Linked DNA regions of Anolis sagrei. The protein of the gene in region 1 interacts with the protein of each later gene in a pairwise test. Links are inferred from orthologs where the notes say so. Each region holds a gene or a part of one and is shown in the gene's direction. Other genes may lie near its edges.

Region 1 (7,972 bases):
ATCTTGACGTCAAAGGGACGTCAAGATGGGACGTCATGAAGGGAACTGGACCATTTATGATGTGGTCATTACATATAATCACAAGAATTTGCTCTTGGTTTCAGTCAAAATAATTAAATGAAAATGAATTAATTATGACTTAATATGAGGTAATAATGATCCATTTCTGTCACCAAGCGGCCATTTTGTCTTCCTCACTCAGCCATCTTGATGTCAAACTGTGTGAAGGGAACTGGGCCATTTATGAAGTGGCCATTATATATATATATCACAAGTATTTGCTCTTGGTTTCAGCCAAAATAATTAAATGAAAATGACTGAACTGTGGCTTAATATGAGGCAATAATGATCCGTTTCTGTCATGGCAAAGTCAATCAGTGGCCATTTTGTCTTCCTCACTCAGCCATCTTGACATCAAACTGTGTGAAGGGAACTGGGCCATTTATGAAGTGGTCATTATATATATATATATATATTCACAAGAATTTACTCTTGGTTTCAGCCAAAATAATTACATGAAAATGACTCAATTGTGGCTTAATATGAGGTAATAATGATCCTTTTCTATCATGGTGAAGTCAACCAGTGGCCATTTTGTCTTCCTCACTCAGCCATCTTGACGTCAAACTGTATGAAGGGAACTGGGCCATTTGTGAAGTGGTCATTAATCACAAGAATTTGCTCTTGGTTTCAGCCAAAATAATTACATGAAAACGGCTTAATTGTTGTTTAATGTGAGGCGCTCCATGCAGTTAGACTGGCCGCATGACCTTGGAGGTGTCTACGGACAACGCTGGCTCTTTGGCTTAGAAATAGAGATGAGCACCACAGTCCCAGAGTCAGACACAACTGGACTTAATTTCAGGGGACAACTTTTACCTTTACTATGAGGTTATAATGAGCCGCCTCTGTCATGGCACAGTCAACCGGCGGCCATTTTGTCTACCTCAGTCAGCCAACTTGATGTCAAATTGCCTGAAAGGAACTGGGCCGTTTATGAAATGATCATAACTAATATATATGTTTTAAAATCACAAGAATTTGCTCTTGGATTCAGCCAAAATAATGACAAAAAATGTCTTCATAGTGACTTAATACGAGGTAATAGTGACTTAATATGAGGTAATGGTGGCCATTTTGTCTCCTTCTGTCAGCCATCTTGATTTCACACTTCCTGAGGGGAACTGGACTGTTTATGAAATGGCCCAAAACTAATATTTTTAAAAGAAAGAATCCCCCCACTGCCTCTTGATTTCACCCAGAATAAAGATTCTAGACATGATGGCTTATTGGTAGCGAAATGAGAGGTAATAATGAGCCGTCTTTGACATGGTGCAGCCAACCAGTGGCCATTTTGTCTCCCTCAGTCAGCCATCTTGATGTCAAACAGCCTGAGGGAACTTGAACCATTTACGAAAGGCCATAGCTGGTATTTTTTAGTATCAAACGAAGCACAACTTCGGTCTTTTCCACAATTCTGTTGTCGTTTAATTATTGCGAGGTAAATATGAGCCGTCTTTGACATGGAACATCCAACTGGCGGCCATTTTGTCTCCCTCAGTCATCCATCTTGATGTCAAACCGTCTGAGGGAATTTGAACCATTTACAAAAGGCCATAGCTGGTATTTTTTAGTATCAAACGAAGCACAACTTCGGTCTTTTCCACAATTCTGTTGTCGTTTAATTATTGCAGGGTAATAATGAGCCGTCTTTGACATGGAACAGCCAACTGGCAGCCATTTTGTCTCCCTCAGTCATCCATCTTGATGTCAAACCGTCTGAGGAAATTTGAACCATTTACGAAAGGCCATAGCTGGTATTTTTTAGTATCAAACAAAGCACAACTTCGGTCTTTCCCACAATTCTGCTTCTTGTTGTCTTTTAATTTGAGAGCCTTTTAAAATGGTTTCTCTGTGTGTTGAGTCCTCGTCAAATGCTTCTTGTGTTCCAAAATGAAAGTCAATTAGAATGCACTAAATGTTGATGTTCAGCCTGAACACTCTGAAAGAAAACAGGAGTGAGAATGGATGTATCTGCACTGCACAGTTGTACCAGTTTTGTGACAGTTAGAGACCCTAAATTGGGTCTTCTTAGGTCCACGTCGCGGGAGCATGAAAGGAAGGAGACATTCCCAATGAAAGATAAAAAAAAACCAAGGTTTTATTTTTGATTTCTTCATGAAGAAGACGGACAGCCAGGCAACATGCGCAAATGTTACCCTTCAAGTGACTGCCGTCCCCCTTGGCTTTTGACCACCAAATATATAACCTCAAGTAAACAAGAACAATTTTTTGTCATGGAAAGTAGTCTCTTTCCAGCCCCCTCTCTTGACCTTTTGATGGAAAGTACCTACTTATACATGCGGCCTCTGCGCTTCAAAAACAACCTTTGAAGTTAACCACAACGCATCCTATCACATCTTGTTTCTTAAAAACATTTTATTCCATACTGCTATTTTTCTACAGAGAAGGGTTTGTCTCTCTTAATTTCATTCAAAGCCCCTTACTTAATTTCACTCAGAGACCCTTGAAGCCTCCTTCAACACCTTTAACTGTCATGGCCCCACATTTCTGTGGAATCCTGGGAATTATAGTTTTATGAAGAAGTTGGTGTTTCTGGTGCTGGAGTTCCAGATATACAAATCCCATAGGTTAATGTGGCATAAAACTGAGGTGCAGATGTCCTCTCATGAGAAATAGACATTTTGATTCTAATTGTAAATAAATTATGTGTGTTTTTAAATAAATAAATAAACATAAGAAGGAAGTGGGTACCAAAACACCCTATTTTTTTGCTTCTATTAAATTTGGGTTCTATTAAATTTAGAATTCAAATTCAGCCCAGGCGGGACTCGAACCCGCAACTCTAAAGGAAGAAGCCCCGCCCCCTTTTGGCGGATAATAAGGGAAAGTGAAGCAAGGAGAGGCGGGCTGGCGTCTTTGATTGGTCCATTCAATAAAGTAGGCGGGGTCACAACCAGAGGAATCCTGGCCCCGCCCCCAATCCTCAGGGGAGGCCACTTGTTTCTCCTCATAAATAACCGCCTTAGCAATTCAGACCGACTGGCCAATCAAGACCGAGCAAGGCCCGATTTGTGGGCGGGGCTTTTCATGCCATTAGTGCTTTCAATGACGGGGGCGGGGCTCCTCCAAAATTACGACCCTTTGAGGATGGAAAAAAAGAGGGCGGGGCGTCCAGAAGCCCTATGGGAGGGGCTGAAAGAAGTCGAGTCAGGATTGGTTGCAAAGGAGCCAGGAGTACTTTCACCATTGGTCGGTCCCCCTTCTGCGCCTGCGCCTTTAAGAGCGGGGTGGGGGTAAAAAAAAAAAAAACCTCGACTATGATTGGCATGTTGGAAGAAGGCGTTCCTATTGGTTGTTAGCGGGGGAGAGAGAAGGGGAGGAGACACAAGGGAGTGGGAGGAGCCTAAATAAGGGCAAGCCCCGCCTCTTTGGCAGATTCAGTGCCTCTCATTGGCTCACATCGCCTAGAAAGACCTGTGATTGACATGATGGGGGAAGGCATCTCTATTGGTTGTTAGCGTTGGAGAGAGAGAGGGCGTGAGGAGAAACAAGGGAGTGGGAGGAGCCTAAATAAGGGCAAGCCCCGCCTCTTTGGCAGATTCAGTGCCTCTCATTGGCTCACATCGCCTAGAAAGAACTGTGATTGACATGATGGGGGAAGGCATCTCTATTGGTTGTTAGCGGGGGAGAGAGAGAGGGCGTGAGGAGAAACAAGGGAGTGGGAGGAGCCTAAATAAGGGAAAGCCCCGCCTCTTTGGCGGAATGAGCGCCTCCCATTGGCTCACATTTCCTAGAGAGAACCATGATTGACATGCTGGAGGACGGCGTCCCTATTGGTTGTATGGGTACGTGAGGAGAAACAAGGGAGTGGGAGGAGCTGAAATTATGGCAAGCCCCGCCTCTTTGATGATTGACATGTTGGAGGACGGCTTCCCTATTGGTTCTTTGCGTGCGTGAGGAGAAACAAGGGAGTGGGAGGAGCTGAAATAAGGGTAAGCCCCGCCTCCTTGGCGGAATCAGTGCCTCTCATTGGCTCACATTTCCTAGAGAGAACTGTGATTGACACTTTGGAGGCCGGCGTTCCTATTGGTTGTATGGGTACGTGAGAAGAAACAAGGGAGTGGGAGGAGCTGAAATAAGGCTAAGCCCCGCCTCCTTGGCGGAATGAGCGCCTCTCGTTGGTTTATATTTCCTATGATTGACATGTTGGAGGACGGCGTCCCTATTGGTTGTATGCGTGCGTGAGGAGAAACAAGGGAATGGGAGGAGCTGAAATAAGGCTAAGCCCCGCCTCCTTGGCGGAATGAGCGCCTCTTATTGGCTCACATTTCCTAGAGAGAACTATGATTGACATGTTGGAGGAAGGCTTCTCTATTGGTTGTTAGCGGGGGAGAAAGAGGAGGCGTGAAGAGAAACAAGGGAGTGGGAGGAGTCTAAGAAAGGGTAAGCCCCGCCTCTTTGATGATTGACATGTTGGAGGACGGCGTCCCTATTGGTTGTATGGGTACGTGAGGAGAAACAAGGGAGTGGGAGGAGCTGAAACAAGGCTAAGCCCCGCCTCCTTGGCGGAATGAGCGTCTCTCATTGGCTCACATTTCCTATGATTGACATGTTGGAGGACGGCGTCCCTATTGGTTGTATGAGAAGAAACAAGGGAGTGGGAGGAGCTGAAATAAGGCTAAGCCCCACTTCCTTGGCAGAATGAGCGCCTCTCATTGGCTCACATTTCCTATGATTGACATGTTGGAGGACGGCTTCCCTATTGGTTGTATGAGAAGAAACAAGGGAGTGGGAGGAGCTGAAACAAGGCTAAGCCCCGCCTCCTTCGCGGAATGACTGCCTCTCATTGGCTCACGCTGACGAGAAAGGGGGCGGGGCCGAATGGAGTAGGCGTGGCCTGAAGGGGGAAAAAGAAGGCAAGCGTCTTCCGGCTCGACGCATGCGCGGACGGAGGGGCGGGGCCATGCATGCGCATTCTCAAGCTGGCTCTGTGAGGGGAGGACGGACTCTCCGGCTGGCGGAGGCGAGGGAAGGGAGGCGGCAGGCCAGAGTGGGGGAGGCTCCGGCCTGAAGGCACCGGTCACGGTGGCGGACCCGGGGGAGGAAGCCGGGCCTCGCCCTCCGGCCCCAATCCCCCCGCCTTCCCCCTTGGCGGCCTCTTCCTCCCCGGCGTCGCCTTCGGGCCCCATGGAGGGCCTCTCCGTGGAAGTGCGCGGCTCCAACGGGGCCTTCTATAAGGTGAGTAGGCCGCAGAGCGTTGCCAAGGAGACGGGGCATGGGCGGGGCCCCCGCGGTTGCCATGGAGATGCGGCCTAGCCTCCCAACTCTCTCCAACTCCCAGGAGGCCTAGGCCCCTCGAGGATTCTGGGAGTTGGAGTCCAGGGCTTTGGGTGGAAAGGTCACAAACATACCTCTGAGGAGTTCAAAGGAGGCAGGGAGGCTTGTTGGGGAAGAAAGGGACCTCGAAGGCTTTGTAGGCCTCAAGCTGAATGGGAATCAAGCTATAGATTGCATCAAAGGAGGCATGGGCAAATTTGGGCCCACCCTCCAGGTGTTTTGTGACTTCAACCCCCACAATTCCTGGCCTCAAACCCTTTCCTTTTCCCCCTGGCCTCACTCCAGGTGTTTTGGGACTTCAACTCCCACCATTCCTGGCCTCAAACCCTTTCCTTTCCCCCCTGGCCTCCCTCCAGGTGTTTTGGGACTTCAACTCCCACCATTCCTGGCCTCAAACCCTTTCCTTTCCCCCTGGCCTCCCTCCAGGTGTTTTGGGACTTCAACTCCCACAAATCCTGGCCTCAAACCCTTTCCTTTCCCCCCTGGCCTCCCTCCAGGTGTTTTGGGACTTCAACTCCCACAATTCCTGGCCTCAGGCCCTTTCCTTTTCCCCCTGGCCTCCCTCCAGGTGTTTTGGGACTTCAACTCCCACCATTCCTGGCCTCAAACCCTTTCCTTTCCCCCTGGCCTCCCTCCAGGTGTTTTGGGACTTCAATTCCCACAATTCTTGGCCTCAAACCCTTTCCTTTCCCCCCTGGCCTCCCTCCAGGTGTTTTGGGACTTCAACTCCCACCATTCCTGGCCTCAAACCCTTTCCTTTTCCCCCTGGCCTCCCTTCAGGTGTTTTGGGACTTCAACTCCCACAATTTCTATCCTCAGGCCCTTTCCTTTCCCCTCTGGCCTCCCTCCAGATGTTTTGGGACTTCAACTCCCACAATTCCTGGCCTCAGGCCCTTTCCTTTTCTCCCTGGCCTCCCTCCAGGTGTTTTGGGAAAAGGAAGGGGCCTGAAGCCAGGAATTGTGGGAGTTGAAGTCCCAAAACACTTGGAGGGAGGCCCCAAGTTTGCCCATGCCTGATTAAGAGGAAACAAGAGAACAAGGCCTAGCAATCCCACTCTTTTGCTTGGGATAACACCGTTCTGGGCAAAACAATTCAAAGAGACGGACTTTTAAGTTGGAAGATGGCCAGGGTGTTTTGGACTTCAACTCCCACAATTCCTTACAGCCAATAGGCTGAATTATGGGAGTTGAAGTCAAAGGCTGTTCGGAATTATAGGAGTTGAAGTTCAAAACACCTAGAAGTTCCAAAGTTTACCTATAGAATCATAAAATCAAAGAGTTGGAAGAGACCTCCTGGGCCATCCAGTCCAACCCCATTCTGCCAAGAAGCAGGAATATTGCATTCAAATCACCCCTGACAGATGGCCATCCAGCCTCTGTTTAAAAGCTTCCAAGGAAGGAGCTTCCACCACACTCCGGGGCAGAGAGTTCCACTGCTGAACGGCTCTCACAGTCAGGAAGTTCTTCCTCATGTTCAGATGGAATCTCCTCTCTTGTAGTTTGAAGCCATTGTTCTGCGTCCTAGTCTCCAGGGAAGCAGAAAACAAGCTTGCTCCCTCCTCCCTGTGGCTTCCTCTCAAATATTTATACATGGCTATCATGTCTCCTCTCAGCCTTCTCTTCTTCAGGCTAAACGTGCCCAGCTCCTTAAGCCGCTCCTCATAGGGCTTGTTCTCCAGACCCTTGATCATTTTAGTCGCCCTCCTCTGGACACATTCCAGCTTGTCAATATCTCTCTTGAATTGTGGTGCCCAGAATTGGAGACAATATTCCAGGTGTGGTCTAACCAGAGCAGAATAGAGGGGTAGCATGACTTCCCTGGACCTAGACACCATGCTCCTATTAATGCAGGCCAAAATCCCATTGGCTTAAATCAGGCATCCTCAAACTATGGCCCGGGGGCCTGGATATGGCCCCCCAAGGTAATTTACCCGGCCCTCACCCAGGGTCAACCTAAGTCTGAAACGACTTGAAAGTGCCCGTTCTACAAGGATATCCATGCCAGACTTATCTTACCTCTGTTATACAAGCACCCACGCCGTTCAGGACAATTTTATACCTCCATGCTACTTGCAGATATTAATTCAGCTACAACCTACAATGTTGCAAAGCATACAAAATCCATCAGGGATTTTTTTTTTTTGGTCGTGTCAGGAGTGTCCTGTTGTGAGAGAATTGGCCGTCTGCAAGGACGTTAGTCCCAAATGTTAACTGTGTGTCCAGTAATCTTCTTCTTTGAATCTACAATTTGGTGATGGATCTGGGCATTGCATGTTTTTACCCTGTTTCCCCTTCTTTTCCGCTCCCTCACCCATATTGTGCTTCAGTAGTTATATTTATATTTTTAATGTACCAAACATACCAAGTTTGTATGAAAATGTGACTCTTATTTCCTGTGCTAGTCAGTGACCGAAATAAATGATTTGATTTGACTTGAAAGCACGCAACAACAACTATCCTATCTCATCAGCCAAAAGCAGGCCCACACTTCGCATTGAAATACTAATAAGATTATATTTGTTAAAATTGTTCTTCATTTTAATTATTGTATTGTTTTAAAATGATTTTTGCACTACAAATAAGATATGTGCAGTGTGCATAGGAATTCAAA
Region 2 (7,803 bases), on another chromosome or scaffold:
AGATTTGATGGCCATCTGTCGGGGGTGCTTTGAATACAATTTTCCTGCTTCTTGGCAGGGGGTTGGATTGGATGGCCCATGAGGTCCCTTCCAACTCTGATTCTATGATCATATGATTCTACTTGTGCTCCCTCTGCTGCTAGACCTTAACTCAAAATGCTATTCTTATGTCAAAGTGAAACCTAGGACAAACAACTGCTCTTAACTCAAAATGCTCTTAAGTAGCGGTTCCACTGTATAACATGTCTTTTTTTCTATATTTTTTGCAAATCATGTGTCTCTTAAGAAGGCACAGGCTATGCGTGTGCAAATGTAGAATATCAAGAAACAAGTAGACTTCTGTCCCCATGCTGGATTGATGACTGCCTTTGGCTTTGGCTAGAAGCCTCTATTCTCCAGTACAAACAAGAGAGAAAGGACCACAGAGGCAATCTGGAGTCTCTAAGTGACTGTTTGTTGCTGCTATTTTGGGCCTTTGTTGTATTTTGGTACTTTGCTCTTTACAGAACTGACTTATTGTGAGTCTGGTTATAAAAGCAGGTCTCTTGAGGGGGTGGGCTGCTGCCAAAGGAATTAACACAAAAAAGGAGTCACCTCTTTGGATGAGTCACTTGAGGTACATATGGATGAGGGCTTGTCCTTCTGCCTGACAGACTCAAGGATTTCTTACCTAGATTCATACAGGAGATGATCCCAAGGGCCATTCAGTTCAATTGCCCATCTTACAGAAGACATGATCAAAATTTTCCCAACTGATGGCCATCCATCCTCTGTTTAAAAACCTCAAGAGAAGGAGACCCCACCACACTCTAAGGCAGTGTATTGTACTGTCATACAACTCTAACAATCAGGACATTTTTTTTCAAATGTTTAAGTGGAATTTCTTTTTCTGCAATTTGATGGGTGGTCTAGGCTAGGAACTGGATGAGGGTGTGCATCTCAAATAGTTCTGCTGGATGTCTCAGTGGTTTTCAATAACATTGGTCATAGTATAATTCTGGGCCACCTCACTGGAATGGAATTTGAAGTTACTTTTTATAGTAGCTCCAATCCTTCCTGGTGGTGTTGACTGAATCCTGTTCACAGACACCTGCCTCTTGGCTTGCAGGTTTTCTCAAGGTTCTGTTTTCTCCCTCAGGCTATCTAAGAATATTCATGAAACTGCTGGGAGAAGTCTTCTGGTTTTGGAGTGTAGTGTCATCACTATGCAGATGGCACCCTCTTCTATTACTCCTTTCCACCTTAATTCAAACAGGTGACCTTGAGTCTAATCCAGTAATTGACTTGGAGAAATCTTGACAAGACAATCAAAGGCAGATCAAGGAATAGGAATTCAATCTGTGTTAAATGGAGTTACACTCCCACTGAAGAGAGACACAAGTTTGCAATTTGGGGGACGCTTTTGGATTCAGTTTTGAATCTGGAGACCCATTTCTGTGGTGGCCAGAAGTGCTTTCACATTTGTACACCCACTAAGCTAATTTCTTGAGCTACCTAATCTGACTATAGTGCTACATTCCTTAGTTACACTCCATTTGGACTCTGTAACATGTATGTGGGCAGCCCTTGAAGAGTGCTTGGAAACTTTTGCTAATTCAAAGAGCTGCAGCATGTTAACTGGAGCAGGCTACGGGTACCATACTTTTCCCATTACAACAACTCCACTGGCTGCCAGTTTGTTTCTGGGCACAATTCAAAAAGCTGGTTATGACCTATAAAGTCCTATGGGGCTCAGGTCTAGGCTATTTATCAGACTGTATCTCCACATTCAACAATGTTAGTCTGGAATATCAATCTACAAAGACTACTTGTAGAGTATAACTAAAAGAATTTTCATTTATTGATTGTGTCAGAAGTGTACTGATAATACTTGTACCTCTGATGTCGCTGTAAGATGGTCCTCCATTGTGCATGTGGCAGGACTCAGACTGCATTGCTATAAGTGGTCTGTGGTTTCCTCTTCTCCGCACTCGCATGTCGTGGACTCCACTTTGTAGCCCAGGTATTTTGGTGTGCTGCAATGCTCCAGTGGGATTCCTTCCCAAGTAATCCTCGGAGCTTAAGATGCTTGTCTCTTCTTATAATGAAAAGCACACATCTGCATTTTAGATGGATTAGGCATCAGCTGGTTTTCCCTGTAATAGACCACAAGAGCACCTAAGGATTAAGAGGGCTTCTGTTCAGCCATTTCAAAGCTCCCTGCTTGAGTGGTGATGGCACGATTGTAAGCATAGATGAAACTGAAAGAATGAAGCTTGTAGGCAAAGCCTACTTCCTCAAATGCCTGGCGTGAGGTGCCTCCCTATATGAGCCTGCATAAGCCCTGATATCATCAAGTCTGACACTTCCTTGAATCACAAGCACAAAGGGCCTTTTCACTGACTGTCCCTAGACTCCTCTCTTGTTGTTTTTCCATTAACAGGTGGAAAACTTTTTTAAATATTTTGACAGGTTTTTAATACAATTTTTTTTAAAGTTTGAGCTAAATAGTGCTATATTTAAATGCAACTGTATTTAAATAATTTTTGACTTTTAAATGTATTTTATTGAGTATAATTTGAAACTTTTATAATACTGAAATTAGTTTAGTTCTATCTTATTGTTCATTTGTTGTATGTTTCAAGTAAAATAAAAACCAGGGGCATAAACTAGAAAACAACATATTCATTTGGTTACATTTCTTAGCCATTTACTAGAACAAATGTAGTTATAAAACATTGCTGCTATAGAAATAGAGATAAGTCTTCTTTTTGCAACCTTATTATTATTATTATTAATTATTATTATTCCTATTCCTATTCCTCCTTCCCCTGTATCTCAAGGAGATATCTGACAGTTTGTACTTTCAAAGTGACAAAGCTGATCTTTCTAGTCTCTCATAAAACCTAACATGGTCTGCACATTTCTTGTTTTGTCTGTTTGTTTGTTTTTTAGGTAATACATCTTTCAGCATGTCTGCTTGGAAATTGTAAATGTTGTAGTCTATTTTTTTTACAAATTCTACTTTGAAATGCATAACTTGGAATTAAATCCTAGCTATTTAAAATGGCTTCGTACAATTGTTTATCTAAGTTACAAACCTCAACCCACTTCTAACCCTGTCTTCTGGGAAACAAGTCTAATTAGTTTCATCTAGGTATATCTTCAAGTAAACATGTCTAAATCCTATGCTTAATAACAGTGTTGCACAATTTCACAAGCTAAAAAAACAAAGTGTTGCATTGCTTTCTATGGAAGTGACCTGAGGCCTAAGCTACAGATGACAATTCATGTCTTCAGAAGGTTATCCCAAAGTAAGTCAGGCATATTGATTTCAGAGTTACACTATGCCAGTACCTTGTTGTTAACTGACATTGACTCAAGTTCAAGTTATGGTGACCCTATAAATGAGAAACCCTCAAGTCACCCTATCACCAGCAGCCCTACTCAGAGCTTTCAGACTGAGGGCTATGACTTCCTTGGCTGAGCCTCTTCACCTGGAATGCAGTCTTTATCTTTTGCTATTGCCTTCTCTCTCATCAACCAGCTCTGTCTTTTCTAGTGAGACATGTCTTCACACATTGTGTCCAAAGTGCAATAGTCTCCGTTTAGTCATCTTGTATTTGCCAGTTTTCCCCACAATCTTTTGCTGCCTTGTCTTTCAGTTGTAGTATATGTGATGCCAAATTGAACACTAACATTTTTTTTATTCTGCTCTGAAGCCTACTTTTTCATCCCAAGCATCTATGCTTAACAACAAATCCTGTTTAGGTGTGTAGTCAATTTCTTTCTGGATTCTAGTACACATTCTTTTAAATTTCTTTTTCAGCATCTGAAGATGGAACACAAACTTGGATTATATTTAAATCATATCAATTCAGGTTTTCCTGAAATTGTATTGATACTATTTGGTCATACTTTGCATTATATTCTTTGACAACTTTTGCTGCATCTCTTCTCACTATGCATTTCACCCCATGACACAGCACCATCCAAGAGAGCCAAAGAACATCAGCAGCAGGGAGCTTGGAGGAAGAGGCAGTGTCTGTTTACTGCAGGCTGCCTTTGACCTGAGTTCCTGGTGACTGGCTCCTTACAGACTCAGGCCCTGACTGCCTGGCTGAAGCAAGGCCCAGCAGAAACACCTGCTGGGGGATAAAAGGATGATGTTGCTGGGGGCCCAGTCACACAGCACTATCCAAGAGAGCCAAAGAAGATCTTAAGATCATGACAGGGGAAGTTGAGGGCCTAGTAGGGTGTCTCGTGATGTTGCTATTATAATGATAGACTGTAATGCTGCTACTTGACCAAGAGACTTGAGAAACACCACTGTGCAAGTTTGACGAGTGACAGAAATGCAGTTTAACATCTTATCACACCACAGTTAGAAATGAAGCAGTTAATTGTGTGTGGGGTTATTATGTTTTACATTGTATTTATATGTCTATTGTGGCTAGTGATTTTATGTTATGTTTTATATAGTTTGTATAATGAGGCATTGAATTTTTGCCTAGATGACTGCTGTATAGTGCTCTGGGTCCCCCGAGGGATGAAAAAAGCAAGATAGAAATGAAGTAAATAAATTAATAATAACAATTTTGTCTTATATTTCCATTTTCTGAGTAAAGCTATGCAATTATCTGATGTAAAATGTCCAATTCCTGCCCACTTTTGCTCACTCATCCCAAGTATCGCAATGTTTATATCTTTCATTTCTTGTTTTACTATGTCTAGCTGCTGCTGATTCACGTTTCCCACATTTCATACTCCTATAATATGTGTTGTGCAGTTTTGGAATTTCCTTTCACTTCTTAGCACATCAGTTAACAGAAAATCTTTCTGACTTGAGTCCAGTTGCATCATTAACCACAGCGCTCTTTAAAGTTGATAATTCCAGAAGTTAGTTGAGTGCCTTCCAAGCTGTGAGTATAATTTTCTAGCACTATCTCTTGTTTCCTTCTTCATTGTTTTATCATAGGGCTGTCATGGTAAAAGGTGTTGGAAAGGGATTTATGGTGCCTCCTTCTGTGCAATGCAAACAAGCACTATCTATGGTGCCACTGGCCTTATTTCTGGCAGATATTCCACAGATGTGAACCCCCACTATTGCTGCTTCCCAATCATTAATTCATATTTTAGAAGGTGTATGAATAGAGTTTTGTAAAATTAAAATTTAAAACATTATAGTTTGTAGAATTCCACAGCTGATATGACCAGGAGCATTATAACATTTGAAAAAGCCTGTACAAGGGTGGAAATGGAGAACAGTCTTCTCCTTGCAGTTCTCAATTCTTTGAAGTACTTCCTTGAATTTGTTTTGTCCTAGCTTTTGGAAGCAGTAGTATTTTTGTTTTATATTAACATTGCATTGCTTTTGCACATTTTCATCCTAACCTCCACCTAGAAAAGGTTGTGAACAAATCCCAAATGTATATGTGAAAAATTGAGTTTGGCTGCACTCTTGTGGTAATATAGAGAGTGTGCTTTAATTTCTTTCCCTACAGAATTACATGAGTTCTATGTTTATTTGGAATAAAAAGAAACCATGTAAGTAAAACAATTGTATTTTGCTTTTAAAAAAAAAAAAGCAAAAGCAAATTATAGTCATACAGTTTATAGACCTTAAGTCATTTTTGTAATTACAGTTAACAGAAAAGGCATAAATAACACAATCCAAACAAAACATAGCAAAATAATCAAAGCAATCTCAATTAATCATATCTTACAAGGAACCAGACTGTAATTGATGGTGAAGATACATTAAAAATGCCTGGCTTTACTAATAATCCCATTCCAGCATCCTTTTAAGATATTTGCTTACCACATTTGGAAATGCCTCTTTTCTGCAGTATGCCATAGAAAAACATTTGATGTTTCTTCATTCAGTTTGTTTTCATTTGATCAGCACATTCTCTCCCAATAGTTTTGTTTTTTGACTAATTTCCAATTTTCATTCAGATGGAGTAAAAGACAAGATGGAGTGATTGCATCATTTTAATATTAAAAGGGCACCCACAGAAAGGAGGGATCAAGTTTGTTCTCTAGTGTCCCAGAGGATAGGATGATTTTGCCCTGTTTTGCCACTTTTAATCATGGCAAGGATGGGGCCTGCCATGCACCATAACATGATGCACGGAGAAACACCTAAAGGTGCTTTTTTTCTCCACTCTGGGGAGGAAAGTGTAGTTTGCATAGCTCCAACTGAACTACCTGCACTTTCCTCCCCTTTTTGCCATGTGATAGCAGAAAGAGCAGCGGAGCAATGTGTGTTGCTACCTTTTCTATCATCTGATGAGGGGATGTGATGAGGGGAGGGGGGAGGGTGCACAGAGTGCCACATGCCACCCTGCACACCTTCCCTTTAACTGGCAATTGCTGGTGCAATGACAAGGTCCGAAAGGGCCATGTGAAAAGGTCCCAATGCTACAGGACTATCTATTTTGATTAAACATTGGAACAAAATTTGGCAATGGAATCAATTTCCTAGAAAGGTAATGGAATCAGTTTCACTTTACATCTTCAAAAAGAGGCTGGACAAGTGATGCTGGAAATGGTCTAGTTACAGTTCCTGCACTGCCTGGGGAATTGGAGATTATCTCCTCTGCAACGCCTTCCAGCTCAATGTTTGTATTTGAAAAGATGTAAGCCATAATTCTTTTGGTTGCTTGAGTCAACCTTTGAAAGATGTGTCAACCCAATTAGATCAGATTGCTTCAAAGGATATACTCCAGTCTCTTTCCTTGTAAGTGAAGGCAAAAACTAAGCACACCGATAGTCTATCAAAATAATCCCACCTAATTTTCATTAAGGAGACTTGATTGCTTAAAAATGGATTATTATTAGGGTTCCCAACACTTGGGAAGCATGCTTTTAAGCTTTTTCTATTTTTACAAAATCTTTCTATTATCTGAAAAAGGCTGCATTGTTTTCACTTGTGAGCCACATTACCAGAGAACAGTGCAACGGCTGAATTCACACAGTGCACACAGAGAGAAGCAAGAGTGAGACTGGCAGATATTTAACCATTCTCCAAATAATCCTACTTCTTTCTAGTACATTTGTTGTTAGTCAAATCCTGTCCCTGGCCAATTTTCTTTAGTGATACTTTCTAAACATCACAGTTTGCTTATTTTACCCCCCTGCTCCACCAATAGCCCAATGTCAAACAAGAAGTGATGTCATGTCATGTGTGGGTCAATCCCAGGAACACACTCAGAACAGTTTCTTATCCCTACTGTATCCATTCCCCTGGAATTAAATTTCCCTGGTGTTCATATAGATGACACTTTTCTATGGATATGCATAAGTTTATGTAAGCCAGTTATGCTTTAAGAATATATGATAAGGCACAATTATTTGTAATACATCTGGCATACCTGAATTCGTGATGTAAGTTCAGACCCAGTTTAAAAGTCTGTTTCAAATAAATTTTTCTCAGCATTTCTGTGTGTGCGTGTGTGGTCTGTACCCTATTTCCATGTAAAAGTTCTATATACAATGCACATTGGAAAACAAGTGATCATATATTTGAACGAACTGTTCAATTTCTATATATTTTCTACTTTTTTCTCCCTTACTGGTGGTTCATATTGGTTGCTTTTATCTTTCTAGTGATTTTTTAAAAACAGAAACCCAAAGTCCTGGCAGGCTGGTGCTGTCCCCCTTCTACCAGCTAAGGGACTTCACCATTTTGCTCTAGTGTACTGGCTTCTGAAAGTGTTGACCACCAGCTTTCTTTCAAATCTTGTGCAGAAAATAGCCTTACCTAACTATATCATTTCCTCCTCTCCATTATCAACCATCTTTTTTTGCAACTGTGGGATT
Region 3 (7,792 bases), on another chromosome or scaffold:
GTCATTGGGTGAGTAAGTTTAAAGATGTTGAGGAGACACCCTCTGCTGTCAAGAATTCAATGACTGCACGTTGATTAAGTCGCATTAACCGACTGTCTGTGCAGGGTTCCATACTTTGCACTTTAACAACACAGCCATTCAATGCTAAGGCTTCCCGCCAAAATGGAATTGTAGAGGAGAGTCTACTGAACAAGCCAGTACCTGCCGCATACCAGTACTGCCATCTGTTGAGTTACGAAGGTGGAGGCATTACTTTTCATTCAACCCTCATATGATCACCTGTTGTTCCTCCCCATTAGCCTAAAGGAGAGCAAACTTCCCACCACGATGGAACTGTAGAGGAGAGTCTGCTGAACAAGCCAGTACCTGCTGCATACCAGTACTGCCATCTGTATAGGAGTTACAAAGGTGGAGGCATTACTTTTCATTCAACCTTCTTAGCATCTCCTGCCCTAAAACCTCAGCCGGAAACATACACCAAATTCCCAGAACTGCAAAGAATTACTGCAAAACTTATTTATTGTGTACGAGTAAGACATACTCTACTTTGCTAGAACTGCAAATAAGTAGTGCAAACCTTCTTTATTGTGCCTGTATGCGTAAGACATAACTCCAGTTTGCCAGAATTGCAAAGAAGTATTGCAAAACATTTATTGTGCCCGTAGGGGTAAGACATACTCCAATTTGCCAGAAATACAAAGTAATACCAAACTTCATACTTCAGTTTGCTGGAACTGCAAAGAAGTGGGGCAAAACTTCTAATTTATTGTGTCTGAATGCGTAAGACATACTCCAATGTGTTGGAAGTGCAAATAAGTACTGCAAAACTTCTAATTTATTGTGTTTGTATGAGTAAGGCATACTCCAATGTGTTGGAAGTGCAAATAAGTACTGCAAAACTTCTAATTTATTGTGTTTGTATGAGTAAGGCATACTCCAATGTGTTGGAAGTGCAAAGAAGTACTGCAAAACCTCTAATTTATTGTGCCTGTGTATGAGTAAGACATATTCCAATGTGGTGGAAGTGCAAAGAAGTACTGCAAAACCTCTAATTTATTGTGTCTGTATGAGTAAGACATACTCCAATGTGTTGGAAGTGCAAAGAAGTACTGCAAAACTTCTAATTTATTGTGTCTGAATGCGTAAGACATACTCCAATGTGTTGGAAGTGCAAAAAGTACTGCAAAACTTCTAATTTATTGTGTCTGTATGAGTAAGGCATACTCCAATGTGTTAGAAATGCAAAGACGTGCTGCAAAACTTCTAATTTATTGTGTCTGTATGAGTAAGACATACTCCAATGTGTTAGAAATGCAAAGACGTGCTGCAAAACTTCTAATTTATTGTGTCTGTATGAGTAAGGCATACTCCAATGTGTTGGAAGTGCAAAGAAGTACTGCAAAACTTCTAATTTATTATGTCTGTATGAGTAAGACATACTCCAATGTGTTAGAAATGCAAAGAAGTGCTGCAAAACTTCTAATTTATTGTGTCTGTATGAGTAAGGCATACTCCAATGTGTTAGAAATGCAAAGAAGTACTGCAAAACTTCTAATTTATTATGTCTGTATGAGTAAGACATACTCCAATGTGTTAGAAATGCAAAGAAGTGCTGCAAAACTTCTAATTTATTGTGTCTGTATGAGTAAGACATACTCCAATGTGTTAGAAATGCAAAGAAGTACTGCAAAACTTCTAATTTATTATGTCTGTATGAGGAAGACATACTCCAATGTGTTAGAAATGCAAAGAAGTGCTGCAAAACTTCTAATTTATTGTGTTTGTATGAGTAAGACATACTCCAATGTGTTGGAAGTGCAAAGAAGTACTGCAAAACTTCTAATTTATTGTGTCTGTATGAGTAAGACATACTCCAATGTGTTAGAAATGCAAAGAAGTACGCAAAACTTCTAATTTATTGTGTCTGTATGAGTAAGACATACTCCAATGTGTTAGAAATGCAAAGAAGTACTGCAAAACTTCTAATTTATTGTGTCTGTATGAGTAAGACATACTCCAATGTGTTAGAAATGCAAAGAAGTACGCAAAACTTCTAATTTATTGTGTCTGTATGAGTAAGACATACTCCAATGTGTTAGAAATGCAAAGAAGTGCTGCAAAACTTCTAATTTATTGTGTCTGTATGAGTAAGACATACTCCAATGTGTTAGAAATGCAAAGAAGTGCTGCAAAACTTCTAATTTATTGTGTTTGTATGAGTAAGACATACTCCAATGTGTTGGAAGTGCAAAGAAGTACTGCAAAACTTCTAATTTATTGTGTCTGTATGAGTAAGACATACTCCAATGTGTTAGAAATGCAAAGAAGTACGCAAAACTTCTAATTTATTGTGTCTGTATGAGTAAGACATACTCCAATGTGTTAGAAATGCAAAGAAGTACTGCAAAACTTCTAATTTATTGTGTCTGTATGAGTAAGACATACTCCAATGTGTTAGAAATGCAAAGAAGTACGCAAAACTTCTAATTTATTGTGTCTGTATGAGTAAGACATACTCCAATGTGTTAGAAATGCAAAGAAGTGCTGCAAAACTTCTAATTTATTGTGTCTGTATGAGTAAGACATACTCCAATGTGTTAGAAATGCAAAGAAGTGCTGCAAAACTTCTAATTTATTATGTCTGTATGAGTAAGACATACTCCAATGTGTTAGAAATGCAAAGAAGTGCTGCAAAACTTCTAATTTATTGTGTCTGTATGAGTAAGACATACTCCAATGTGTTAGAAATGCAAAGAAGTACGCAAAACTTCTAATTTATTATGTCTGTATGAGTAAGACATACTCCAATGTGTTAGAAATGCAAAGAAGTACGCAAAACTTCTAATTTATTATGTCTGTATGAGTAAGACATACTCCAATGTGTTAGAAATGCAAAGAAGTTCTGCAAAACTTCTAATTTATTGTGTTTGTATGAGTAAGACATACTCCAATGTGTTGGAAGTGCAAAGAAGTACTGCAAAACTTCTAATTTATTGTGTCTGTATGAGTAAGACATACTCCAATGTGTTAGAAATGCAAAGAAGTACTGCAAAACTTCTAATTTATTATGTCTGTATGAGTAAGACATACTCCAATGTGTTAGAAATTTATTTATTTATTTATTTATTTGATGCACTTATTAACCGCCATTCTCAGCCCTTACGGGCGACTCATGGCGGTGTACAGTACACATAAAAAGACAGTTACAAAGGCCAGTATCAACAACATATAACTATACGACAAATACAAACTACATAAAAATCCGCTTCGTCTCTTAGTAGAATCATAGCCAGTCTCATCTTCCTTATACCATTCCAGTTCTCATTACCGTAATGTTGTTGCTTAGCACTTAATTAAATGCCCTCTCGAACAGCCAGGTCTTAAGGCTTTTTCGAAAGGACATGAGGGAGGGCGCCTGTCTGATGTGTGCCGGGAGAGTGTTCCACAGCCGGGGGGCCACCACCGAGAAGGCCCTCTCCCTCGTCCCCGCCAGCCGTGCCTGTGACGCAGGCGGGATCGAGAGAAGGGCCTCCCCAGACGATCTCAAGGTCCTCGTGGGCTCGTAGGCCAAGATGCGGTCCGAAAGGTATTTTGGGCCGGAACCGTTTAGGGCTTTGTAGGCCAAGACCAGCACCTTGAATTGGGTCCGGTAGCAAATCGGCAGCCAGAAATGCAAAGAAGTACTGCAAAACTTCTAATGTATTGTGTCTGAATGCGTAAGACATACTCCAATGTGTTAGAAATGCAAAGAAGTACTGCAAAACTTCTAATTTATTGTGTCTGTATGAGTAAGACATACTCCAATGTGTTAGAAATGCAAAGAAGTGCTGCAAAACTTCTAATTTATTATGTCTGTATGAGTAAGACATACTCCAATGTGTTAGAAATGCAAAGAAGTGCTGCAAAACTTCTTATTGTGTCTGTATGAGTAAGACATACTCCAATGTGTTAGAAATGCAAAGAAGTGCTGCAAAACTTCTTATTGTGTCTGTATGAGTAAGACATACTCCAATGTGTTAGAAATGCAAAGTGCTGCAAAACTTCTAATTTATTATGTCTGTATGAGTAAGACATACTCCAATGTGTTAGAAATGCAAAGAAGTGCTGCAAAACTTCTTATTGTGTCTGTATGAGTAAGACATACTCCAATGTGTTAGAAATGCAAAGTGCTGCAAAACTTCTAATTTATTATGTCTGTATGAGTAAGACATACTCCAATGTGTTAGAAATGCAAAGAAGTGCTGCAAAACTTCTTATTGTGTCTGTATGAGTAAGACATACTCCAATGTGTTAGAAATGCAAAGTGCTGCAAAACTTCTAATTTATTATGTCTGTATGAGTAAGACATACTCCAATATGTTGGAAGTGCAAAGAAGTGCTGCACAACTCCTTTATTGTGCTAGTATGAGTAAGGCATACTCCAATTTGCTGGAAGTGCAAGGAAGTACTGCAAAACTTCTTATTTATTGTGCCTGTATGGCAAGGGATGTGTGAGGACCTCCCCTTTGATGAGGCTGCAGTCTCTTACCTGGCCAGCACAGGTAGGTGCTGCAATGCTTTCCAATATAGCATCCACATTGTAGAATTGATGCATTTTGCCACTACTTGCCTAGGTCATGGGATTTTTAGTTTCACAAGGTATTGGGCCTCACGAAGCTGCACTTCAAAGCTGTTAGTAAGGATGGGAGGTCCTGCTGCCGCCCTGGCCACGCCCCCTCCCAGGTGAGGCCACGCCCCCTGCCATCCCAGCCGGGGCGCTGTCCCTTTAAGAGCCTGGCATGAAAAGGGGTGCGGCCCCTTTAAGGGAGCGGCTCCTCCCGGGCCAACGAGGCTCTTTCTCCCTCAGCCTGGAGCAGAGAGACAGGTACTTTTTCTTTCCCTTCCTTTGCATCTGCAAGCTCTTGCCTCCTCTTCCTCTTCCAAGCCTCTTCCCCGCAGCCTCTGAGCATACACAGAGTGCTTTCCTCACTTTATGTCCCTCTGAAGCCACCAAGCTCACCCAGGGTGCATCTACACAGCAGAATTGATCCAGGGTGATACTGCTTTTAACTGCCTGTCTTTGGATTCGTTTTCCATCCCAGTATCTCCCAGTTTCTTTCACTTTTCATCCCAGTATCCTCCCGGCTTTGGGTCAGTTGGCTCTTGTATCAAAGGGTTGCAAACTAATTGATTATTGGGTTGCTGTGAGTTTTCCAAGCTGTATGGGGAATTCCAGGCATGAGACAATCAGGGCCAGCTAACACCTCCCAACGAAGGATTCCCCCAGGCAGGAAGCAGCCAGGTTTGGAAGCTGCAAGGCCGTTCAATGCTAACCAAGGCGGCCAATTGCAGCATTCATACCTAAAACTCTAAAATCATAACAGAAAATAAAGAATAACACTAAAAAGGGGGAATTCCAGACAAGAAACATTTAAGGCCAGCTAACACCTCCCAACAAAGGATTCCCCCAGGCAGGAAGCAGACAGGTTTTGAAGCTGCAAGGCCATTCAATGCTAATCAAGGTGGCCAATTGCAACATTCATACCTAAAACTCTAAAATCATAACAGTAAATAAAGAACGACACTCAAAAACAGGAGAATTCCAGACAAGAAACAATTCAGGCCAGCTAACACCTCCCAACAAAGGATTCCCCCAGGCAGGAAGCAGCCAGGTTTTGAAGCTGCAAGGCCATTCAATGCTAACCAAGGTGGCCAATTGTAACATTAATACCTAAAACTCTAAAATCATAACAGTAAATAAATAACAACACTCAAAAACGGGGGAATTCCAGACAAGAAACAATTAGGGCCAGCTCACGCCTCCCAACGAAGGATTCCCCCAGGCAGGAAGCAGACAGGTTTTGAAGCTGCAAGGCCATTCAATGCTAATCAAGGTGGCCAATTGTAACATTAATACCTAAAACTCTAAAATCATATCAGTAAATAAAGAACAACACTCAAAAACGGGGGAATTCCAGACAAGAAACAATTAGGGCCAGCTAATCATCTGCCAACAAAGGATTCCCCCAGGCAGGAAGCACCCAGTCTTTGAAGCTGCAAAGCCATTCAATGCTAACCAAGGTGGCCAATTGCAACATTCACCTTTGCCTCAAACAGACAAGTGTTCTTTCTCTTATCCTGGATATTATTTCACAGGTATATAAACCTCATTTGCTTAGTTTCGAACACACCTCACAACCTCTGAGGATGCCTGCCATAGATGTGGGTGAAACATCAGGAGAGAATGCTTCTGGAACATGGCCATACAGCTCGGAAAACTCACAGCAGCCCCGTGATTCCAGACATGGAAGCCTTCAACAACTAATGTATTATTATTATTATTATTATTATTATTATTATTATTATTATTATTTATAATCCGCTTTATCTCCCCAAAGGGGACTCAAAGCGGCTATTTCTGAAACTGCCTTGTATTATGTTATATTGTATTATATTTCAGACTCTTTCATTTCACCAGGATTTGTTTCTAAATTACTTTGGAATGTGTAAACCAAGTTGTATCCCTTGTCTTTTAATAGGATACATTTTAATATGTATCTTTTCCAGAAACATGCCCATTATTTATAGAAGTTTTGCAATGTTTACATGTTTTAATTATTCCACAGAGAGAGGCAGGTAACAAACAAAATTATTATTGGGTTGCTGTGAGTTTGGCATGTTCCAGAAGCATTCTCTCCTGACGTTTCACCCACATCTATGGCAGGCATCCTCAGAGGTTGTGAGGTCTGTTGGAAACTAGGCGATCTTTCGGTCAACAAGTTCAGCAGCTCAGCGGTTTAACCCGCTGGACCACCAAAGGCTCCTGCCTATCTATTGAAAAGAGATGTTGACAAGCTGGAATGTGTCCAGAGGAGGGTGGCTAAAATGATCCAGGGTCTGGAGAACAAGTCCTATGAGGAGCGGCTTAAAGAGCATGGCCTGTTTAGCCTGAAGAAGAGAAGGCTGAGAGGAGACACGATGAGGACCATGTATAAATATGTGAGAGGAAATCATAGGGAGGAGGGAGCAAGCTTGTTTTCTGCTGTCCTGGAGACTAGGACATGGAACAATGGCTTCAAATAAATAAATAATAATAATAATTTTATTTATTCATTTATTTATTTAAAATATTTTTATTCCACCCTTCTCACCCCAAAGGGGACTCAGGGCGGAGCACAGCATATATACGGCAAACATTCAATGCCGGAACACATTCTTATATACATACATAAACATTAAAAACATTTATCAAAATATTAAAATACACAGTTTAAAACTGTCCTAGTCATCCACGTTAAATCTAATTGGCCTGGTAATCTTTCCTATTGCTGCTTTATTTCCCTGTCCTGAAATAATAATAATAATAATAATAATAATAATAATAAGTGACATACTGAACTTTTGTACCAGTAAAATAATAATAATAATAATAATAATAATAATAATAATAATAATCTTTCTTTATATCCTGCCACCATCTCCCCAAAGGGGACTCGGGATGGCTAACACCAGGCCAAGCCCAAAGATACAATACAGCAAAATAAAGTGCAAAGCATAACAAAAGTCACATCACAATAAAGTATATAGAGTGGCAAAATAAAGTGAACAAAGCAAAATAGTATAGTAGAAAATTGAATACAAATGGCAGGCCAAATGGAGAAGATAAAATGATAAAACCCTGGATGAGATAGGAGTAGAAAATGTGTATTTGAGAGGAGCCGAAAAAGGTCGAACAGTATGATTAGGTTGTTGTAGGTTTTTCCGGGCTATATAGCCATGTTCTAGAGGCATTTCTCCTGATGTTTCGCCTGCA
Region 4 (8,013 bases), on another chromosome or scaffold:
GAGCCAATTTGAATCTCCTTTGTACAGAGAAAAAGTGGGGTATAAATAAACTCCCATATCAGACATAAGAAGCCCCCGGTGACGCAGTGGGTTAAACCACTGAGCTGCTAAGCTTGTTGACTGAAAGGTCGCAGGTTTGAATCTGGGGAGTGGCATGAACTTCCGCTATCAGCCCCAGCTTCTGCCAACCTAGCAGTTTGAAAACATGCAGATATGAGTAGATCAATAGGTACCGCTCCAGCTGGAAGGTAACGGTGCTCCATCCTGTCATGCTGGCCACATGATCTTGGAGTTGTCTACGGACAACGCTGGCTCTTCAGATTAGAAATGGAGATGAGCACCACACCTCAAAGTCGGACACGACTGGACTTAATGTCAGGGGGAAACCTTTACCTTTACCTTATCAGACATAAAGGCAATGGAGATGTTTATTGAAACTTGACAGCAATTCGAAATAATGTACTTTTGCCACGTCAGGTGCTTATTGGTGCAAGTTACGATCTACGCAATGTTTGGTGGGAGCACCAAACAATTCGCCTGCTGTTGCTGCTAATTGATTTACTGGTCTGGCAGGAAATTTAATAAACTGTCATTGCTCATTTTGTAGCTTGTAGTCATTTTCTGTATCCACCTCCTTTGGGTGCTTAAGGGAAGGAATGTGGACAAGGTCTGGGGTTGATGGTATTTAATAATTCTAATCCTATGAGTCAAAATTTCACAGTGGATCCCTGCTGAGGAAACAATGGGTGCTGAAACACCTTGATGGATTCCAGGCTTCTCCTCTTTCTCCTTCTCTTCCTCAGAAATACAAAAAAAATTAAAGTTTGGAGCTGCGGAAATAGCAGCAGTATCTTCTCAGGGAACAGACCCTTTCTCCCTGGCTCCCTCATGCACAGACTCTCTTTGCCACCCAGAGCCTCCCCGCCCCCCCCCCCCAACCTTCTTTGCTTCTGAGATCCTATTTTCCCCTGCTCAAGAGGTGCTTTGATTGCGTTTTTCCTGCATGGCAGAACTGAGTTGAACTGGATGGCCGCTTTGGTTTCTGCTATAATAATAATAATAATAATAATAATAATAATAATAATAATAGGGGGCAGAAGACAGTTCCATCTTGTCTCCTGCCTATATCATCAGTTGGGAGCCCCCCCCCCCCCCCAGCACCAACTGCTGCTCTGGCCAGAGTGAAGAGAGAAGTGGGCAGAAGACAGTTCTATCTTGTCTCTTGTGCTTTACTAATAATATAATAAATATAATATAATGTAATGTAATGTAATATATAATACTGATATTGTACTATGCTAATAATATATTGTATATATATATATATATATATCTTGTAAGCCGCTCTGAGTCCCCTTCGGGGTGAGAAGGGCGGCATATAAATGTTGTAAATAAATAAATAAAATTATTATTATTACAAAGGCTGGATGTCCATCTGTTGGGGATGCTTTGATTGTGCTTTTACTGTATGGCAGAAGAACTGGATGGCCTGTGGGGTCTTCAACTGAAATACTGTTAAGTTTATGTTGGCTAAAATTATTCTTAATTTTAAACATATTGTTCTTTCTTTCTTTTTTGCACTAAAAATTAGATATGTACAGGGTGCATAGGGATTTCTTCACATTTTTACCAATTAGTTCACACAAATACTCTCCACCCACCTGCCACTGGCCTGGCCCATGTGTTAGATTTTAAAATGCAATGCGGCCCCTATGTCCACAAGTTTGCTCATGTTGAATATATATACATAATATATATAATAAAATATAAACATTTCCTGGGGCTCCATGAAAAATTTGCTTCAAAAAGGGCTCAGTGGCTGAAAAGGTTTTGAAAACCCCTGCTCTAAGGTGACCCCATTGGCAAGATTTGCCCAGAAAAGGTTTGTCATTATCTTCCCCTGAGGCTGAGAGAATGTGACTTTGCTTTAATGGTGATGCCTGTTTGCTGTGTACTGTATATTTAAATGTGTAAGGCTCTAGAAATAGCACAAAACTGCACTTATTAAAAAAACACACACTAACAATTATGACAAACAATCCAAATTCTGAATCCAAAATGCTCCAAAATGCACACTGACTTGAGAAATTGCATTCAGGGGGGAAGACTCCCTGTGTTGTTTATGGCAGCAGAAAAGCGATAAAGAATTGTATTTGTTTACAGCCAGAAGCAACCCCATTAGGCTTCTTCTATACTACCATATAATTCAGATTATCCAGTTTGTGGGGCCCCAGAAATTGAGGATGTACCCCATTATTTGTTTTCCTGCTCTTTGTACTGTGAGCCAAGAGATAAAATCCTGGGACCTACGTATTCTGTATCTTCTGCAATCCAACATTGACTCAGAAGAGATTTTCTACCTTTTGGCTGACACTAAGCCAGTGGTTACTCACAAAATGTCTCTTTTTGCATTGGCAGCATTGAAAATCCAGGTTAAGATCAATTTCTAATATTGCAATTGACTGTTTTGGGGATGCTTTTACCTAATCATAGTGTGGTTGTTTACATCCAAAGTGTTTCTTGCATAAGTTTTAATAATACTGAATTTTGGGTTGTTGTAGGTTTTTTCGGGCTGTATGCCATGGTCTAGAGGCATTCTCTCCTGACGTTTTGCCTGCATGTATGGAAACCATCCTCAGAGGTAGTGAGGTCTGTTGGAACTAGGGAAAAGGGTTTATATATCTGTGGAATGACCAGGGTGGGACAAAGGACTCTTGTCTGCTGGAGCTAGGTGTGAATGTTTCAACTGACCACCTTGATTAGCATTTGATTGCCTGGCAGTGCCTGGAGCAAACTTTTGTTGAGAGGCAATTAGATGTCCCTGCCTGCTTCCTGTCTGTTGTTGTGCTGTTGCAATTTTAGAGTTTTTTAATACTGGTAGCCAGATTTTGTTCATTTTCATGGTTTCCTCCTTTCTGTTGAAATTTTCCACATGCTTGTGGATTTCAATGGCTTCTCTGTGTAGTCTGACATGGTGGTTGTGAGAGTGGTCCAGCACTTCTGTGTTCTCAAATAATATGCTATGTCCAGGTTGGTTCAACAGGTGCTCTGCTATGGCTGACTTCTCTGGTTGAAGTAGTCTGCAGTGCCTTTCATGTTCCTTGATTCGTGTTTGGGCGATGCTGCATTTGGTGGTCCCTATATAGACTTCTAATCAAGGAGCCTTCTAATCAAGGTGAAAGAAGAAAGCGCAAAAGCTGGGTTGCAGCTAAACATAAAAAAAAACCAAGATTATGGTAACAAGAATGATTGACAACTGGAAAATAGAGGGAGAAATTGTGGAGGCTGTGATAGACTTTGTATTTCTAGGTGCAAAGATTACTGCAGATGCAGACTGTGGCCAGGAAATCAGAAGATGCTTACTTCTTGGGAGGAGAGCAATGACCAATCTCGATAAAATAGTAAAGAGTAGAAACACCACACTGGCAACAAAGATCCGCATAGTCAAAGCCATGGTATTCCCTGTAGTAACCTATGGATGTGAGAGCTGGATCTTAGGGAAGGATGAGCGAAGGAAGATAGATGCTTTTGAGCTGTGGTGTTGGAGGAAAGTGCTGAGAGTGCCTTGGACTGTGAGAAGATCCAACCAGTCCATCCTCCAGGAAATAAAGCCCGACTGCTCATTGGAGGGAAGGATACTAGAGACAAAGTTGAAGTACTTTGGCCACATCATGAGGAGACAGCAAAGCCTAGAGAAGACAATTATGCTGGGGAAAGTGGAAGGTAAAAGGAAGAGGGGCCGACCAAGGGCAAGATGGATGGATGGCATCCTTGAAGTGACTGGACTGACCTTTATTTATTTATTTATTTATTTACGACATTTATATGCCGCCCTTCTCACCCCGAAGGGGACTCAGAGCGGCTTACAAGGTATATATACATACAATATATTATATTATTAGCATAATACAATATCAGTTTTAAATATTGCTATATTATACTATACCAATTATATTGTAATATTATTAGTAATATTGTTGTTGTTGTTCATTCGTTCAGTCGTCTCCGACTCTTCGTGACCTCATGGATCAGCCCACGCCAGAGCTCTCTGTATTTATATGTAATATAAATATATAATTATAATATCATGTTATTATTAGTATTATATTGCATTACATTATATTATAAATTTGAAGGAGCTGGGGGTGGTGACGGCTGACAGGGAGCTCTGGCGTGGGCTGGTTCATGAGGCCACGAAGAGTTGGAGGCGACTGAACGAGTGAACAACATATAGACTTGTCCACCGCTGCATGGTACACAGTAGACTCCTGCAGAAGTGAGAGGATCCCTCTTGTCCTTTGCTGAATGGAGCATTTGTTGCAACTGACACGATAAATAAATCCACACAGCCATATAGCCCAGAATAAAGGTAAAGGTAAAGGTAGTCCCTTGACATTAAGTCCAGTCATGTCTGACTCTGGGGTGTGGTGCTCATCTCCATTCCTAAGCTGAAGAGCCAGCGTTGTCCGTAGACACCTCCAAGGTCATGTGGCCGGCATGACTGCACGGAGCACCGCTACCTTCCTGCCGGAGTGGTACCTATTGATCTACTCACATTTGCATGTTTTCGAACTGCTAGGTTGGCAGAAGCTAGGGCTGACAGCGGAAGCTCACGCCGCTCCCCGGAATCGAACCTGTGACCTTTCGATCAACAAGCTCAGCAACTCAGTGCTTTAACCCACTGCGCCACCGGGGGCTCCCATAGCCCAGAATATCAAGGTAGAAAATCCCACAATATCTGCTTTGAACTGGACTATCTGAGTCCACACTGCGATGTATTCCCGTTCAATGATGACAATGTGGGCTTTTATTCAGCAGTGTGGAAGGGACGAGCGTTGCTGTGAGTTTTTCAGGCTGCCAGAAAAAACTCACAGCAGCCCAGTTCTGCAAAAGTTGGGATTCCCTCAGAGGAGGTCCAGTCCGCCATCTTGGCCCAGCCGCCTCTTGGTTGCTTAGCGACGACCCCCCCTCCTGCTTCGGCGCCGCCTCGCGCTTGGGCTGGGATGAAGAGCGCATGCGCGCTTGCTAACGGGGCGGCTGCCGCTCCTGCTGCTCTTCGGTGGGCGCCCGGCGTTCCCTCACGGAGTCGGCGAGGAGGAGGAGGAGGATGAGCTCCCGGAAAGGTAGCCGAAGCGGGGCCCGGGAGGGAGGCGAGGGGGCCGGGGAAGGAGCGCGGAGAAGGGGCGCGGAAGGAGCAGCAGCCTTCAACCTCTCTCTCTCTCTCTCCTCTCCTTCCCTTGTGGCACAGTGCTGGCCCTGCAGGCCCGGAGGCGGCGCGCCAAACACCCGGCGGCGCCCGGCAGGAAGGAGAAGCAGCAGCCCCACAAAAAGTGAGTGCCTCCCGCCCGGGGAAAGAAGGAAGGAAGGAAAGAAGGAAGGGAGAAGGGGAAGCGGGCGTCTCTCTCTGGGTCGCGAAGGCATCCCAGCACAAACTTCCCTGAGCATCCCTCGTCCCGAAGGGCCCAGGGCGGCGGGGAAGACCGGTCACGGTCCCAGGCTGGATGTGGCGGGACTACACCTCCCATCCTCCTTTCTCAGCCCGCCCCCGACCCTGAGAGTATCTCAGCCCCCAGAATAAAACCCACACTACCTTGCCATAGATGCAGGCGAAACGTCAGGAGAGAATGCCTCTAGGACATGGCCATATTGCCCCAGAAAACCTACATCAACCCAGTGATTCCGGCCATGAAAGCCTTCGACAATACATAAAACCCACATTATCTGCTTTGAACTTGGATATAGGGCAGTGTGGACTCAGATAATCCATACCAAGCATATATTGATTTTCTGTCGTGATATTCTGAGTCATATGGCTGTGGAAGGGCCCTTAAGGGTCTGTATACCAAGTTTGGTCCAGATAGGAGCCCCCGGTGGCGCAGTGGGTTAAACCCCTTTGCCGGCAGGACTGCCCTTGAAGGCTGTTCGGAAACTTCAACTGGTCCAGCGAGCGGCAGCCAGATTGCTCACGACATACAGGGACCACACCACCCCCCTGCTGTGTCAGCTCCACTGGTTGCTGGTTCAGTTCCGAGCACAATTCAAGGTGCTGGTTTTGACCTACAAAACCCTGTACGGTTCCGGTCCAGTGTATCTGTCTGAACGTATCTCCCTCTACGTCCCACCCCGGAGTCTGAGATCATCTGGGGAGGCCCTGCTCTCGACCCCACCGCTATCACAAGTGAGGTTGGTGGGGACGAGGACCAGGGCCTTCTCAGTAGTGGCCCCTCACCTGTGGAACTCACTCCCGGGGGAAATTAGGGCATCAACATCCCTCCTCTCCTTCAGGAGGAAGGTAAAGACGTGGTTGTGGGACCAGGCCTTCGGGCAATCTGACAACTAGATATGGACAACCAGATGGATAGGACTGACAGGATTGACAATTGTGGAATTGGAAACTGGACTATGAGATTGCGAAATGCTGACCGTCAATGAGGAGAAATGGTTTGTATTGGTTTTATTGCTTTTACTGGTTTTATGGTTGTTTTCGCCTTGCAAGAATTGTTGTTTTCTGTTAATGGATGTTATTTTGTCTTATTGTTGTTATATGATGTGGGCATCAAATTGTGCCTTGCTTTTGTAAGCCGCCCTGAGTCCCCTTTGGGGTGAGAAGGGCGGGGTAGAAGCAACCGAAATAAATAAATAAATAAAACCAACAGGTCACAGGTTCGAATCCGGGGAGAGGCAGATGAGCTCCCTCTATCAGCTCCAACTCCTCATGCGGGGACATGAGAGAAGCCTCCCACAAGGATGATAAAAACATCAAATCATCCGGGCGTCCTTGGCCAATTCTCTCACACCAGGAGTCACTCCTGACACGACAAAAAAAAAAAAAAAAAAAGGTCCAGATTAATTGACAGGGCACAATGGATGTGCGTGGACTACAATTCCCATCACCCTCTATCCGGCCTCCCCTTGAAACAACCTACCAGTATCAGGCTTTTGCAGAATGATGGCTGAGATCGGTTATTCACCACAATATACGGACTGAATTGGACATGATTTTATCATGACAAATGGCTTTTATGTATTTTATCCTATATGTATTTGTTAATTCACTGTTGATGCATGATGTTTTAGATCAGGGGTCCTCAAACTTTTTAAACAGAGGGCCAGGTCATAATCCCTCAAACTGTTGGAGGGCCAGATTACAATTTGAAAAAAAACCTCATGAATGAATTCCTATGCACACTGCACATATCTTATTTGTAGCGCAAAAAAACACTGAAAAACAATACAATAATTAAAATGAAGAACCATTTTAACAAATATAAACTTATTAGTATTTCAATAGGAAGTGTGGGCCTGCTTTTGGCTGATGAGATAGGGTAGTAGTAGTAGTAGTTGTTGTTGTTGTTGTGTGCTTTCAAGTCATTTCAGACTTGGGTTGACCCTGAACGAGGGCCGGGTAAATGACCTTGGAGGGTCGTATCTGGCCCCCGGGCCTTAGTTTGAGGACCCCTGTTTTAGATTTTTACTGTTAGCATTGAATTTTTGCTGTCAGCCGGTCTGAGTCCCTCTACGGAGGTAGAGAAGATCAGGATATAAAAGTTGTAAATAAATAAATAATAAATAAATATAAATTGGATAATGAAGAGTCTGTGTATCAAGTTTGGTCCAGATCCATCAAGCCAGCTAGGCACTGTTGTGTTATATACAAACATACATACATACATACATATATATATATATATATAAAAATGTAATGTTCATTTGTGAGATTAACATAAGTCAAAAACCACTGGACAAATTGACATGAAATTTGGACACAAGACCATCACTCATAAAACTCTGAAAAACACATCAGAAGAGACTTAAAAAGCAACCCCCCAAAAAAACAAAAAAAAAAACCCAAAATACATAAAAATGCATGTGCATAACCACATAAATACACATATACACACAGATATACACATACATACACACACAAACGTTTGGCAGGGGATAGCTTTTATATATCTATATCTATCTATCTATCTATCTATCTATATATATATACACACACGCACACACACA

The links.
Region 2: the proteins of FXR2 (region 1) and LCP2 interact in binary tests that used the Homo sapiens proteins (3 or more experiments, as listed by UniProt). The two-hybrid records come from large-scale screens. The link is inferred for Anolis sagrei from reciprocal best matches to the Homo sapiens genes FXR2 and LCP2.
Region 3: the proteins of FXR2 (region 1) and SYTL4 interact in binary tests that used the Homo sapiens proteins (3 or more experiments, as listed by UniProt). The two-hybrid records come from large-scale screens. The link is inferred for Anolis sagrei from reciprocal best matches to the Homo sapiens genes FXR2 and SYTL4.
Region 4: the proteins of FXR2 (region 1) and SRPK2 interact in binary tests that used the Homo sapiens proteins (3 or more experiments, as listed by UniProt). The link is inferred for Anolis sagrei from reciprocal best matches to the Homo sapiens genes FXR2 and SRPK2.

The regions. Positions count from the first base shown.
Region 1 is NC_090026.1:3,122,270-3,130,241, forward strand, and holds the start of FXR2 (RNA-binding protein FXR2), read left to right. Parts: upstream 1-4,959; 5' UTR 4,960-5,211; coding exon 5,212-5,262; intron 5,263-7,972. UniProt on the Homo sapiens protein: mRNA-binding protein that acts as a regulator of mRNAs translation and/or stability, and which is required for adult hippocampal neurogenesis. Specifically binds to AU-rich elements (AREs) in the 3'-UTR of target mRNAs.
Region 2 is NC_090022.1:104,302,966-104,310,768, forward strand, and holds the start of LCP2 (lymphocyte cytosolic protein 2), read left to right. Parts: upstream 1-4,803; 5' UTR 4,804-4,901; intron 4,902-7,803. UniProt on the Homo sapiens protein: Adapter protein primarily involved in signaling pathways within T-cells, as well as other immune cells such as platelets, mast cells, and natural killer (NK) cells.
Region 3 is NC_090030.1:10,025,908-10,033,699, reverse strand, and holds the start of SYTL4 (synaptotagmin-like protein 4), read left to right. Parts: upstream 1-4,783; 5' UTR 4,784-4,864; intron 4,865-7,792. UniProt on the Homo sapiens protein: Modulates exocytosis of dense-core granules and secretion of hormones in the pancreas and the pituitary. Interacts with vesicles containing negatively charged phospholipids in a Ca(2+)-independent manner.
Region 4 is NC_090025.1:83,987,858-83,995,870, forward strand, and holds the start of SRPK2 (SRSF protein kinase 2), read left to right. Parts: upstream 1-5,012; 5' UTR 5,013-5,107; coding exon 5,108-5,123; intron 5,124-5,248; coding exon 5,249-5,330; intron 5,331-8,013. UniProt on the Homo sapiens protein: Serine/arginine-rich protein-specific kinase which specifically phosphorylates its substrates at serine residues located in regions rich in arginine/serine dipeptides, known as RS domains and is involved in the phosphorylation of SR splicing factors and the regulation of splicing.